Lepisosteus oculatus: one gene and its partner. The protein of the gene in region 2 interacts with the protein of the main gene of each other region in a pairwise test. Links are inferred from orthologs where the notes say so. Each region holds a gene or a part of one and is shown on either strand. Other genes may lie near its edges.

Evidence for each region. The genes of interacting proteins can lie anywhere in the genome.
Region 1: the proteins of trip6 (region 2) and rad23aa interact in binary tests that used the Homo sapiens proteins (3 or more experiments, as listed by UniProt). The two-hybrid records come from large-scale screens. The link is inferred for Lepisosteus oculatus from reciprocal best matches to the Homo sapiens genes TRIP6 and RAD23A.

The regions. Positions count from the first base shown.
Region 1 is NC_090706.1:16,876,623-16,884,158, reverse strand, and holds the start of rad23aa (RAD23 homolog A, nucleotide excision repair protein a), read right to left. Parts: upstream 3,059-7,536; 5' UTR 2,870-3,058; coding exon 2,804-2,869; intron 1-2,803. Other genes in the region: rnf11a (RING finger protein 11a), read left to right, coding at 4,039-4,137, 7,271-7,440. UniProt on the Homo sapiens protein: Multiubiquitin chain receptor involved in modulation of proteasomal degradation. Binds to 'Lys-48'-linked polyubiquitin chains in a length-dependent manner and with a lower affinity to 'Lys-63'-linked polyubiquitin chains.
Region 2 is NC_090698.1:9,104,563-9,112,462, forward strand, and holds the start of trip6 (thyroid receptor-interacting protein 6), read right to left. Parts: upstream 3,104-7,900; 5' UTR 2,888-3,103; intron 2,014-2,887; exon of another isoform or gene 1,925-2,013; intron 1,605-1,924; exon of another isoform or gene 1,313-1,604; intron 1,293-1,312; exon of another isoform or gene 502-1,292; intron 488-501; exon of another isoform or gene 300-487; intron 269-299; exon of another isoform or gene 1-268. UniProt on the Homo sapiens protein: Relays signals from the cell surface to the nucleus to weaken adherens junction and promote actin cytoskeleton reorganization and cell invasiveness. Involved in lysophosphatidic acid-induced cell adhesion and migration.

The DNA of each region.
Region 1 (7,536 bases), on a different chromosome or scaffold from region 2:
AGATTCAGCTCCATGATCACGGGTTCGAGCCTGGGTCATGTTACTGAACTTGAACTTGAACTTGAACTTGAACTTTATTGCCATATGTAACCGGTACTGGTACAATGGAATTCTTACTTACAGAAAGTCTCTCGATTATAAAACAAGTGTAAAAAACAAAACAAAGTGCAAACAGTGCATCAAGACAATGTACAAACAAACAATAGACAATGTGCAAGTAAACATGCAGACAGTTTGACTGTAAACAATACAGACGTGTAAACAATGACTGGAGACGTACAATTAATAAATTACAATGAGGTAGATGGTGATGGTGTAGGTGTGGTCCGAGGGGGATGGCTAAATGTGTTCGCCAGTCTCACTGCTTGTGGATAGAAGCTATTGAAGAATCTAGTGGTAAGTGTCCGTATGCTCTTATATCTCTTGCCTGAGGGCAGTGGGGTGAAGAGCTCATGCCCGGGGTGGTGACTGTCCTCTGTGATGGCCAGAATTCTACCACGGCAGCGGTCCTCATAGAGCTGTTTAATCTCGGTGAGACCGCAGCCGATGATCTTCTGGGCCATATTGACCATTCTCTGCAGTGCCTTTCTTTCTCGCGAAGAGGTGTTGCCATACCACACGGTGATCCCGTTGGTGAGGACGCTCTCGATAGTGCAGCGGTAGAAGTTCACCAACACATGTGTTGGCATCCCCCATCGCTTGAGGCACCTCAAGAAATAAAGGCGCTGCTGAGCCTTCTTCATGATAGAGTCAGTGTTCACAGTCCAGGTTAGATCTTTAGAGATGTGAATTCCCAAAAACCTAAAGCTGGTGACTGTTTCCACTTCCGTTCCATCAATACTGAGTGGGCTGTGAGTGTGTGGCCTGTGTCTCCGAAAGTCCACTATTAGCTCTTTCGTTTTCTTTATGTTCAAGTCCAGGTTATTGCTATGACACCACCTCAGCAGCTGTACAACTTCATCCCTGTAAGTGGACTCGTCATCATCACTGATCAGTCCTATTATAGTGGTGTCATCGGCAAACTTAATGATGCGGTTATTGCTGTGTCTTGCTGTGCAGTCGTGAGTAAATACTGTGGCTGGGACTCCCCGTGCGACGGCACACAAGGGGATGTCAAGGGTAGGGTCGGATTAGCTGGCCAGGATGCCGTTGGCTCATTGTGCTGTAGGTGAGGGACATGCCTCTCCTCATGCACAGGGATTCACGGCCCTTGACGTGTTACAAGACGGGTGTCTCCAATGCGGGCAGGGTGGAGGAGTCTGCCTACATTTCCACATCCTCCCCTGTGTGCGGTGGGGGGGTTTGTAGCTGAGAGCCGAGATGAGAAAAGCCACACACGATTGGTGATTCCAGATCAAGGACAACACAAAATGGAGGCTATACTAACAAGAACAGGAAGGGCTCCTTCAGGAGCCAGGAGAGTGGCGGGTGTCTGAAGCGGTTTCCAGCACAGCTTTCAAAACCTGCCTGCCTGACATTTACTTTACTCCATTCGCAAGTAGCTGCCAAGCGAACAGGGCTGGCTAAAGGGTCTTTTCTTTTTTCTGAAATTTCTAAGAACCTGAGTACAGTTAGCAACGAGAAAACACCATTCATCCCTCCCTGCCCTTTGGAAGCTCCTCAGCCAGCATTTCTCCTGGTCTTTAGAAACAGGGGAGCTGTACAGGCACAACTCTGTCTTGCCTGATGCCTCACAAGGCCTGTTAACCAGCACAACATCAGGCCTGTCATCTCTTCCACGCTCCTAAGTGTGGCCATGTGATGTTGTGATTTTGCTTGGGAGCCTCTTATTCTGAAACGATGTTTGCTGAGCTGTACAAAAATGTTTTTTTTTTATTAAATGTGTTCACTTCCCAAAAGAGGTTACCTTTTATAAAACACAAAGAATTAAATGTATTTTTAAAATCGTACAGTAGTGTGTGTATATTGTGTACACTAATGTTTTTTTTTAACTGGGAAAAGCAGATGGGTCTCAGACGAGGGAGTTTTAAAAAATATTAAGTCTTCAATATGATGTCATGTTTGCGAATGATGAGCATTAAAACATGCCTTTTCGGTCTCTTTTCTAAACTCCTTTACACATGCAATGTCACCCATATCTATGTTAGTAACAGTCACTCAACAACGGCCTAAACTGCGTTTCTGTCTGTCTGTTACCATAACAATCGTTTCTTATCGTTTTTAAGGAACCGCCTTTCATGTGATGAAGAAACCGCTGTACAGAGTCACGTGGCGTATGACTTCTGCTGTTCACGCACGAAGCATCATAACTAAAGTACCGAAACGACACTTTAATTCCGCAGAATTATTTCATAATTGTATACGCGGTTCCTGTAATGAAACACACCGAATTACTCATTGGAACAACTCAGTGGAACGCTTTTACTGGGAATTATGTGTCAACGTATGCGGTGTCTTACGTGTAGTAACATTATTCTTTAAAGAAGACTCGGACAAGAAAACGAACATGTACAAATCTTCCGACAAACCGAGAGGGCCAACTCTAGCTGAGGATATCCCTTTAGCTCGGGGTGTCCAATGGGTTTTTTTCAAGAAACTTGTTAAAGCATATGCGATCGCTCGGCGAAACGAAACTGTCAACTTTGAAAATGACAAATTCGACTTAAGTCTAAATCCGCCAAGAAAACCATCACCAACCATCACTGTTTTAAAAATATCTAACGTTACACTTCAGTTTCATCAAATCGTGTTTGGGTTTGTATGGACTGAGGCATTAGTACGGCTTAACAGGTAATATTAATGCCTCAGTCATGCTGTCATTCAACAACCTACAGCCGCTTACCGTTTGCTCTGCGTCTATGTCAATTTGAATAGTTTGCTGTTGCAGCGTCTTCAGAGTGATTTGCATCTTTCTTCTGTTTCCGATCTGTCAGTCCAAAACTTCTCTAAAAAAACTATATATTTGAAACACAGCCTGTCAATTTGGATCTGAAATAACTCGCACGCTGGTAGATGAGGTTGGCGAAAAAAACAGCACACACGAGCCATCAACTCACTGCCGCCATCTTAGTGATGACGTCATGAAGCGAACGCGGTGGGCAGACGGTCCGGCGTCATCTCTGTCACGTGACGTGGGTATCACTCGAGTTGAGGGTAATAGAACGCTATTAAACACGTGGTTCTTGTAAAGTTAGGTGTCATTTTCGTATAACTGCGTGGTCAGAAGTCTGATTCCGTGAACTAAACTTAACATACCATAAATGGCACTATAGACAACGATGTACCAATTGCCGTAGTGTCCAGTGACGACAGTAAGGTCTATCGGAGACAAAAGGCTCTGCTCAGCCTGATTTTGGTACCTGCTTGCGGTGATAAATAATCCTTGTGTTGAATAAATACATAAAACTAAAAGACACGCATCCCGTATTTTATGTATTCAGGGAAGGGAATCGTGCCAGACTGGAACTTTCTATTTTTCAGGTTGTTTTTCTCTGGAGGTCTCCCATCGCAGTACTACCGACCTGACCCAAGCTTGCGTATCTTCTGAGATCTGACAAGATCGAATTAGTGTTATGATATTTTTGTATATATTTTGTTACTCTGCGTCCCCCTAGCTATAGAAGTCCGTCAAATGCAACAATAATATAGCGAACAGACAATGGCAGAACACAGTAATGACTTCTAGTAATATCAGTCAAGTACTAATTCCCCTAAAATTTATTTTTGTGTGCTTGTTCAGAACTACAACTCCCACAAAGCACCTAAACGTCATTTCCGGCCTTTGCAGTTTGTAAACAGAGCAAAGGGGAGATGGGGTGGACTGATCCTATAATACTAACTTAAAGTGAATCGGATATGTAACTGATATATAAATACCGGCGATTTTTTGGGTTTATTTTTGGCTAGGAGAGATTCGGTTGCAAGCACAAGAAAGAAAGCCAGAAAACTGTTCATGGATAGGCGTGATTTAGCAGCGGGTTAGCTTTCCTTGCCCATATTTCGGGTGTCGGGGGAAGACGGGTCTCGTTTAGCCGCCCCTCTGCAACTCTCTCGGCCAGTGCACCCGAGTCCACTTCGATGGGGAACTGCCTCTCCTCGCAGGGTGCGGACGACTTGTCGTTGCTGAACGAGTCGGAGGGGGCCAGCTTGCCCGGAGAGCCACCGCCGCCCTATCAGGTGCAGTAAAGGGGGAACGAGTGAAATACAGACCGGGGATTCGCTGGGAGAGGACGAGTGGTCGAACAGAGCTCTTCAGGCTGGCGTCTGGAAAAGCCCAAACAAAAACGAACGCCTGTATAATTTATACATTTTTAAAATGCTGGAACTCCGAAGGCGAGGGAATTAACGAGTATTTATTTAGGTAGTTCAGAAGTGTAGTTAAGACGAGAAAACTGGTACACAATTATTTCTGCTCCAGGGAATGTGGCTTTTTTTCCTTTCTGTTAGTTTTCCGTGAAACGTGCTTTTGAGACGATTCTCATGAGAACCTCTCTTCTCTTTTTGAGACGTGAATCCCGAGAGAATTAAGAGTGCTACACATTTACTGCACAAAAAACCCGCGTTGCTTTGTCTGTTGTGTGGCAGACACTGCGACAGTTTATTACACTTTAAGAGGCCGTTGCATGTTGATTACAGGGGTTTAATTTAATTTACAAAGTAAATTAAAATGAAATGTCTGACTTCAATAGCATACCGAGTACGTCTGCAACGCTTTCAAGACTAAGAACGTTTTATCGCCTTGGTGTTGCTACCCCCTTTTAAAAAATAAAATTAAATTGTCAGTGCAGCCAAGCGTGATAAAAACAACTCTTTATGCTTATTGTGATGTAGATCTGAGGAGAAGGTCCATACCAACACTCCAGGGAATAGAATCTATTGATTCAAACTCTTAGTTCCTTTTGATCAGACCAGCTGATAGACATAGCAGGGTTACCCTTTCCGTCCTGTTGGGCTGAGACGGGGCTTATAATGGGATTTGATTGAAAAAATTCAGGTCTCCTCTAATTTGTATGGTTTGCTTTAAGCCTTTTTCTGTTTGTATTTCTTGAAGTTGACATGTTGAAACACTCCAAATTAAAGTTCATATCTTCACGGTTTGTGCTTTTCACTGTTGGATGTACTGTCTAAATATCTGGAGCAGTTTTCTTCAGAAGATTCCTTGAAACACACCTACTGCTAGATGCAGAATTTAGTTGAAAAACGTTTCTTCCAAAACACTGAGGATATTTACAGTCCAGTTGGTAGACTAGACTTTAGTGGTCCAACATGCTTGTGCTCCTATCTGTCATTATTGATTAAATTCCCACACTGCCAAGCAAACATTGTTTCATTAAACATTGTCTGCATTGTAGCACAGAAAGAGAAGAATGAAATGGTTCCAGTTAGACTTCTTTGGACGTTGAGAAGGTCAAGATAACCTGTAGGACTGCAGGTGTAAGAGAGCTGGGAACCCTCTCTCTAAAGATATTCAGGCTTGAAGCACAGTACCTGGGGGGGAAAGACGTTTCCTCTATTTTCATGTGTTGAATAACACATATGATATTGTAAGGGCTAAAAATAACCCTGTGCAGCTGTTTGTTTTATCGCGTGTGTGTGTGTGCACCTGTGTGCCTGCTCTCCTGTAGGCTGGGCTCTGACTGTGCCCTGTGCCTGCTCTCCTGTAGGCTGGGCTCTGACTGTGCCCTGTGCCTGCTCTCCTGTACGCTGGGCTCTGACTGTGCCCTGTGCCTGCTCTCCTGTAGGCTGGGCTCTGACTGCCCTGTGTGCCTGCTCTCCTGTACGCTGGGCTCTGACTGTGCCCTGTGCCTGCTCTCCTGTAGGCTGGGCTCTGACTGTGCCCTGTGCCTGCTCTCCTGTACGCTGGGCTCTGACTGTGCCCCGTGTGCCTGCTCTCCTGTACGCTGGGCTCTGACTGTGCCCTGTGCCTGCTCTCCTGTACGCTGGGCTCTGACTGTGCCCTGTGCCTGCTCTCCTGTACGCTGGGCTCTGACTGTGCCCTGTGCCTGCTCTCCTGTAGGCTGGGCTCTGACTGTGCCCTGTGCCTGCTCTCCTGTAGGCTGGGCTCTGACTGTGCCCTGTGTGCCTGCTCTCCTGTAGGCTGGACTCTGACTGTGCCCTGTGCCTGCTCTCCTGTACGCTGGGCTCTGACTGTGCCCTGTGCCTGCTCTCCTGTAGGCTGGGCTCTGACTGTGCCCTGTGCCTGCTCTCCTGTACGCTGGGCTCTGACTGTGCCCCGTGTGCCTGCTCTCCTGTACGCTGGGCTCTGACTGTGCCCTGTGTGCCTGCTCTCCTGTACGCTTGGCTCTGACTGTGCCCTGTGCCTGCTCTCCTGTAGGCTGGGCTCTGACTGTGCCCCGTGTGCCTGCTCTCCTGTACACTGGGCTCTGACTGTGCCCTGTGCCTGCTCTCCTGTACGCTCGGCTCTGACTGTGCCCTGTGCCTGCTCTCCTGTAGGCTGGGCTCTGACTGTGCCCTGTGCCTGCTCTCCTGTAGGCTGGGCTCTGACTGTGCCCTGTGCCTGCTCTCCTGTAGGCTGGGCTCTGACTGTGCCCTGTGCCTGCTCTCCTGTAGGCTGGGCTCTGACTGTGCCCTGTGCCTGCTCTCCTGTATGCTGGGCTCTGACTGTGCCCTGTGCCTGCTCTCCTGTACGCTCGGCTCTGACTGTGCGCTGTGCCTGCTCTCCTGTAGGCTGGGCTCTGACTGCCCTGTGTGCCTGCTCTCCTGTAGGCTGGGCTCTGACTGTGCCCTGTGCCTGCTCTCCTGTAGGCTGGGCTCTGACTGTGCCCTGTGCCTGCTCTCCTGTACGCTGGGCTCTGACTGTGCCCTGTGCCTGCTCTCCTGTACGCTGGGCTCTGACTGTGCCCTGTGCCTGCTCTCCTGTAGGCTGGGCTCTGACTGTGCCCTGTGCCTGCTCTCCTGTACGCTGGGCTCTGACTGTGCCCTGTGCCTGCTCTCCTGTACGCTGGGCTCTGACTGTGCCCTGTGCCTGCTCTCCTGTAGGCTGGGCTCTGACTGTGCCCTGTGCCTGCTCTCCTGTAGGCTGGGCTCTGACTGTGCCCCGTGTGCCTGCTCTCCTGTAGGCTGGGCTCTGACTGTGCCCTGTGCCTGCTCTCCTGTACGCTGGACTCTGACTGTGCCCTGTGCCTGCTCTCCTGTACGCTGGACTCTGACTGTGCCCTGTGCCTGCTCTCCTGTAGGCTGGGCTCTGACTGTGCCCTGTGCCTGCTCTCCTGTAGGCTGGGCTCTGACTGTGCCCTGTGTGCCTGCTCTCCTGTATGCTGGACTAACTGTGCTGTGTTCATGTGCCCAGGAGCACGCTCAGGTGCCAGTGTACCACCCCACGCCCAGCCAGACCCGCCTGGCCACCCAGCTGACCGAGGAGGAGCAGATTCGCATCGCCCAGAGGATTGGCCTCATCCAGCACCTGCCTAAGGGCATATTCGACCCCGGGTCCGAGCCCTCTGACAAGAAAGTCAAGGAGTGAGTCGCCCCCTTTGCCTGGTGCTTGTACCCTTGACAATAAACTTAAAATAGAAGGGGGCTTCCCAGTTCTGATCCTGGGGAGTGGGGCTGAGC
Region 2 (7,900 bases):
ACTGACAGGCCGAGGGTGTAGCTGCCCCGTGCGCCAAAAATGAGCTTTACATAGAAGAAAGAAATTCATAAACAGGCTTAAGTTTTTTTTTTTTGTAGCATCATGAAGGATATAACCGAAGCCATATAGGGTGTTAAACCGAACTGAATAGCTATATACGATTATACTTTATTGCCCGATTTATCAGAAAATTGTTTTGAAGGCATGGGATGTTTTACAAACAGAGAGGCTTACAAAAAAACATACAAACACTACACGAAAAATCAATATAACATGACATAAAAGACGTCAACCCATACATCAGTCATTACACGTCCTTCCCACCGGATTTTGCAAAGCTTACGAGAACCTGTCAGCTTCCTGGCCCACGATCACCCTGAGCCTCGATAACTGCACACTCCCTCCTCACTGAGCACACACCACTCATCGCACTCGCCCAAAGACCAACGCTCCGTTATTGATCGAGTCCTCTGAATCTGGGGAAAAGGCATGGCTCATTACGTTAGGCCCGCCGTGGGGGAGGCGGGACTCTTCATGCAGAACAAGCGAGGGGTCAGAGGAGACCCCAGCAGCCGGTCCCTGTGCACCCCGGGTGTAAGCAGCTCCAGAGCTCTGCTCTCGGGGCCGCCCTGCTGACTGAGAGCACGTCCTGCCAAGTCTGGACATCTCCGCCTTTTGTTGCACAGACCGACTGTTATACCAGACGATTATTCGACACACTCTGTTCACACAAAATCTGACAACTGGTACAATAACAAATTGCAAACTGTGGAGCAAGTAAATTTGCTGTTGTACTTTATCGCAAGTATAGTTAACATGTATTTTCAAAGACAGATTGTGATCTACGTATATTCTCTGATATAAACAGTCCTGGGAGCACCAGTAACCCAGCCGCTGACGACTCGTTTACTCCATTGTCACCATGAAATAAACGCGAAACCATCTGCAATATCACCTCATTAAAATAGGTCTGAACCTCACAAGATCGAACCGCTGAACCCCAAATTAACTGTGTGTGTGTTTTACAGAAAAGGTGGATGAATTAGCACCTGTTACAGAACTTGAATATTACAGCTTTGAAAATGCGCCATTGACAGTTCCGTCAACTGCAATATGGCTCAGTATTTCTAAACGTTTTGCAAGAGAACCCTTGTTCTTCTAAATCCCTTGATCCTTCACGATTGTGAATTAGCACTGTCAGGAGTTTGTTTCTAATTTATAGTACTAAAAACCAAGGGTTTTGCTTAAAATCTGTTTACTTCTTCTTATGGGGGAAAAAGGCGTCTTTTGGATATCATGTGTGGATACCAACCAGGTGAATCCAGGTGAAATTAAATTTCGATGATATTGCTGGAAGCCGCACACGCCGGTTGACTAGTCATTACGAGAACAAGAAGAGAAATCTATCTGCTTACTTTCACCTTCCCCACGGCGAGCGCACACACACACAAACCACCACACAACCCACGCTTCACTAAAAATACACTGACACCCAAGTTCCGTAGTACCAAGATCCAAAATTTCCCCGAAAGACCCCCGAACTGTACGAGAAACGCCAGCCGACCCCCGAATAAAAGCACTGAGAGTTTAAAATTACATCAACCTCTGCCAACACGCTTCTGAGAAATTGCGCTGAGATCAGCGTGTTTACCCGGGGAGGGACATGTGACATTCATTTTAAGCAGGTTGTACTACACAAAGTGAAGAGAGGGGTGCTTAAGGGTGAAGGGGATTAAGAAACTTTCCCCGAAATATACTTGTCTTTTGCCGATAGGCGTGAGTCGCTTTCAATTCAGCTATTATTACAAACTTTGGGTGAAAATGAAAAACAGAAACACTTTAACGCTGATCTGCCGTGACAAGAAAGTAGGGGCACCCCTACGGCTGGCGAGAGTGTGACGCGCCGCTACTTGGGTTCTCAGAATTGAGCTCTTGCTGTTTCTTGGAATATTATTTCCTCAAAAGCCGGCGAGGCAGCTGGTTCTAGGAATTTAGGCCACGCTGTTTAACCAGGTGATGTATCACTCCGTCTCTGTCTATATAACATGCCCTGTCGCTTTGCTGTAGTCCTTGAAAAACACATCTTGGGAGAACGCAACGAGCTGAACTGGGGAGCATTTTTTTTGTTACAGTTCCAACTATTGGAGAGGACAGAATTGAAATCAGTTTTTCGAAGTTTATTTGAATGTCTCTTACTTTTTTTGTTAATGATGCTGCTGTGTGTTTGTGGGGAATCCGGCGGTTTAGAAAACGTCACAACTCTCAAGTTTGTTACCAGACTTGTTTCTGTTGCTAATCTCGAGTGGTTAAATGTGAGAAGGCGGGTGTCCTTCATTAATTGTTTTTACCTAAAATATTCTGGCTGCCGCTGAGAAATACACAGAACTTATTTTTAATTTCTTTTGTCATTTTTGTCATTCTGACGTTGTGTAATTTTTTTGCGAAACGCTTGTTACGTTTTCAGTGACGCTTTTGGACGTCCATGCAAGATGTGGTCTTTGCAAGAGGAATACAGTAGAGTCAGGTGCATGTCTGCCTGGGTGATTTATATATTTAGATTACTGGGCTTTGATGCGTTTTTCAACAGAAAGGGTGGCCCTGTACATAAACATAGACTTGTTTACACCTTTCCGAGGGCATTGACATACGAAACGTTTTATTCTTTTTTTATTTCTTATGTCCGGGCTTCTAAGATGAGCTAGGAGTCTGTGTTTACTTAGTCCTATATCTTTTTCACAAATCGTTCCCGTTTACCTGCCTTGAGTCGAGACCGTAAGGTTGCTCCGAGCTAATCGTCTGTGCGACTTTATCCCTGTCTCGGTCCCTCTCTGCTCGCGTTGCTCACGGTATTTACAGCAATCAGACGACATTGCGAAAGCGCACTGACCTCAGATACTCTTTGCACAGCCGCGTCTCTCCGATCTGGAAGACCGCCAAGCGCGCCGGAGCGCCCGGCCTCCTTGTGAGATTGTAGCGGAGAGTGTGAGGAGGCGCTTGTATCTTTTGTACCGCAGACTGCCGATCGCGCACTGAAAAAACCACGGAGCTACTGGAAACGACGCCACTGAACTGACAAGCCGTGTTACAAAAACAAAATCTTTATTTTTGGCAGTGTAACTTCGCCACGGCTCGGTGTAATTGGTCTTCCCCCCCCCCCCACTCGTCTTGGAGTTTACTCCCACACTGCAGTCCAGCAGTCGCAAAATATGCAGCAGCTGCTGAATCTTTAAAACTGAATTAACCACTGAACTACTGAACACATTGCAGCCCGGCGCTCTCACACTGTGCCACTGAACACACTGTAGCCTGGCACCCTAACACTGAACACACTGCAGCCCGGCACTCTCACACTGTGACACTGAACACACTGTGGCGCGGCACTCTCACACTGTGACACTGAACACACTGCAGCCCGGCACTGTGATACTGAACACACTGCAGCCTGGCACTCTGTCACTGAGATACTGAACACACTGCAGCCTGGCACTCTGACACTGAATACACTGCGGCGTGGCACTCTCACACTGAGACACTGAACACACTGCGGCACGGCACTCTGACACCGAGACACTGAACACACTGAAGCCTGGCACTCTGACACTGAACACACTGCAGCCCGGCACTCTCATACTGTGACACTGAATACACTGCAGCCCGGCACTCTGACACTGAGACACTGAACACACTGCAGCCCGGCACTCTGACACTGAGACACTGAACACACTGCAGCCTGGCACTCTCGCACTGAGACACTGAACACACTGCAGCCTGGCACTCGGACACTGCGACACTGAACACATTGCAGCCCAGCACTGAGACACTGAACACATTGCAGCCCAGCACTGAGACACTGAACACACTGCAGCCCGGCACCGAGACACTGAACACACTGAAGCCTGGCACTCTGACACTGAACACACTGCAGCCCGGCACTCTCATACTGTGACACTGAATACACTGCAGCCCGGCACCCTGACACTGAGACACTGAACACACTGCAGCCTGGCACTCTCGCACTGAGACACTGAACACACTGCAGCCTGGCACTCTGACACTGTGACACTGAACACATTGCAGCCCAGCACTGAGACACTGAACACACTTCAGCCCAGCACTCTGATACTGTTACACTGAACACACTGCAGCCCGGCACTCTGAGACTGAGACACTGAATACACTGCAGCCTGGCACTCGGACACTGCGACACTGAACACATTGCAGCCCGGCACTGAGACACTGAACACATTGCAGCCCAGCACTGAGACAAACACACTGCAGCTCGGCATTCTGACACTGTTACACTGAACACACTGCAGCCCGGCACTGATACACTGAACACACTGCAGCCCAGCACTCTGACACTGCGACACTGAACACAATGCAGCCTGGCACACTCCCAGTCCCTCAGCTCTGACCCCCAGTGCCTCACTCCCAGTCCCTCAGCTCTGACCCCCAGTGCCTCACTCCCAGTCCCTCAGCTCTGACCCCCGGTGCCTCACTCCCAGTCCCTCAGCTCTGACCCCCAGTGCCTCACTCCCAGTCCCTCAGCTCTGACCCCCAGTGCCTCACTCCCAGTCCCTCAGCTCTGACCCCCAGTGCCTCACTCCCAGTCCCTCAGCTCTGACCCCCAGTGCCTCACTCCCAGTCCAGCTTCAGCCCTGCTCTGCAGACCTGCTCTCCCTCCTTTCCTTCCCAGTCTCCGCCTCTGCGCCTCTCCAGCCCTGCTGGCCAGCGCTCTCTCCCTGTGCCACCTGCTGAGGAAGTGACTCAGGAGGAGATGACTTTCCTGTCTTTCATGCAGAGGACGGATGCCGTTGCCAAGGAAGAGTCGCGTTCGTGTTTTTTTGCGAATGTTTTGTTTTTGTTTTTTTTTTCCATTTTTCCGAAACAAAAGTAGATCTCCGTCCTCTCCTCCTCCCCTTTCCCCTTTCTCCCTTGTGGAATCGCTTCCCCGTCTCGCCTTATAAGTACAAAATCCAGATCAGGAAGCCGTGTAAAGGGAAATTCTGCTTATTTGGTTTGTTTATCCGAGTGCTTTGCTCCGGTTGTAGCTGAAATCCTGGAAGAGACCTACGCTGGGCTCAGGCGGTCTGCCTCGGGCTGTGGTGGTCCGCAGTCAGCCCTGGTGGGCAAAGGGGTCAGAAGATTCGACTCTGGATATGTGGCATGTTGTGTGTCCTCCACATGCATGGCTGTAATGTCAGGTCACAGAGTGGCAGGATGGTTAACGGCACCCTTTCACACCTGCAAGGTTCTGGGTACAAGTGCCCAGGCCACCCTTCTGTGTGGAGCTTGCATGTTCTTGCTAGATTTGTGTTGGAGGTTTGGGGGGGGGTGGTATAGAGCTCCAATCTTCCAAAGACATGCGGTCAAAGAACCCCCCCCCCCCCCAGATTTATCCCTATCAGAAAAACAGCTGGTTTCTCCTCCTTATCAACTGTGTCCACACGGGACAGTGTAGAGAAAAGGGGTACAGGACATAGGCCTGTGAGCTCACACTGGCCTCGGGAAGGTGTCACCTGAGTGCCAGTTCTAGGTCATAGTGCGGCGCAGCGCAAACAGCTCTGATTGGTGGGTGTGTCAGAGGAGACCATTTGACCTGGTCGTTTGTGATCGTGAGCTCCGTGTCCATGGCCTTGGTCAGGTCGGGCATTTAAATGATGGATGCTATAAAAGAACACACTTCCCAAAATTGACCTCGGGTCCGATAGACCGGACTGTCCAGCTCTAACTGGGATTCTCCCCAGCAAAGGGCCAGCCGGCACCATGACCTTTCACCTTTAGTTCGGGTCCCAGCACTCCCACCCTCTCACTCTTCCTGTCTCGTTCTCCCTTCTCCCTCTCCCTCTCCCTCCCGCTCTCCTCCTCCGGTTCCTGTGCTCACAATGCCTGGAAGCTGCCTAGACCTGCTGTGTTTGTTTCTTTTTCTCCTTCCATAAAAGAATTGAAAAGTAATTCCACACGCTCTCCTGCAAACATAGCGCACATGCTGTTTACTGTAAGAGGTTTTTTTTCTGCGTGGGTCATACAGTATGTTTGCCTTTCATTCCTAGGCTGGATCTCTATTTTTAATGTGTGCAATTCCATGTAAGTGCCAGAAAACCTTAGCTAGCAGCTGCATCACCCTGCAACTCACGACTGGCAGCCCCACTGGAGCTCAGCAGGTGTGAGCCTGTCCAGTACCTGGATGGGAGACTTCCTGGGAAAGCTGAGGTTGCTGCTGGAAGAGGTGTTAGTGGGGCCAGCACCCTGTGGTCTATGTAGGTCCTAATGCCCCAGTATAGTGATGGGGACACTATACTGTAAACAGGCGCCATCCTTCGGATGTGACATAAAACCGAGGTCCTGACTCTCTGTGGTCATTAAAAATCCCAGGGTGTTTCTCGAAAAGAGTTGGGGTTACCCCAGTGTCCTGGCCATATTTCCCCCTGTTCTTTACCAATCTCGGCCACCTAATAATCCCCCTCTCTGAACTGGCTTCATCACTCTGCTCTCCTCCCCACTGAGAGCTGGTGTGTGGGGAGAGTACTGGTGCATCATCCAGGTGGGGCTACACACTGATGGTGGTGGAGGGGAGTCCCCATTAATTGTAAAGCACTTTGAGTGGAGTGTCCAGAAGAGTACTTTATAAGTGTGAGGAATTATTATTAGTATTTGTAAAAGCACTAGAAATGCTCAAAATCTCTCTAGATTTATCCCAGAGGGAGACACCCTGAAGTGACTAATAACTAACTTATAAGGCTCAAAGACCACAACTAACTTTTCATCTTTAGCTGCTTTTGCAGATTTAGCCCAATAAAGACAGCATACCGTGCTCAGACAGAGCGTGATTGGACAAGTGAGATCAATCAGAGCAGGTGTCTCAGTCCCAGTCCTGCAAGGATTATTAGCCCACTTTCAATCACTCACTTCTGAAGACATGCAGCGTCATCATCGTGACCAGTTAAACAGGTGCTGCATTCAGTTAAGAGAATTTCAAGATGAGCTGTGACCAAGATCACTCCCAGAATTTAGAAAGCATCTAAATTTGAATCTGCAAGACTAAGCAATAATAATGGAACAAGTAATAGGTTTATTCCATGCTGAAATAAAGAAGAAGAAAGAGAACACAAGTGTAAACGCTTTCCCTTTGCCTACTGCCCTGTCTCTCTCAAACCTGAAGAAGGCTCCACGGCCGAAACGTTGTGTTCTCTTTCTTCATCTTTTTTTCAGCATGGAATAAACCTATTACTTGTTCCTTTGCAGCCTACGCATGCTGACGCAGCTCCCCACCTAAGCAATAATAATAATTCCTTACACTTATACAGCACATTTCTGGACATTCCACTCAGAGCAGTTTCCAGGTACTGGGGACTCCCTTCCACAACTACCAATGTACAGATGATGCAACAGCAGCCAGAGTGCACCAGTACACTCACCCCACACCAGCTCTCAGTGGGGAGAAGAACAGATTGATCCAGCCCTGGGATTTTTAATGACCACAGCAAGTCAGGACCTCTGTTTTACATCTCATCTGAAGGACAGCAGCTTTTTACAGTATAGTGTCCCCATGACTATTCTAGGGTTATTAGGACCCACACAGACCACGGGGTGAGCGCCCCCTACTGGCCCCACTAACACCTCTTCCAGCAGCAGCCTTAGCTTTCCCAGCAGGTCTCCCACCCAGGTACTGGCCAGGCTCACTCCTGCTGAGCTCCAGTGGGGCTGCCAGCTGGGAGTTGCAGGGTGATACTCTCTGGTGCAGAGGATGGAGAAACACGAACGCGAGATTTGACCTCGCTGAACGCAGTCTGACGCCTTTTCTGCGACTTTATGAGAACGGAGCTGCGTTAGTCTGGGTGGTGGGACATTGACCGAAGGATTTTCCCGATTTCCCCCTGGAAGCTCTGAAGCCTCCTGA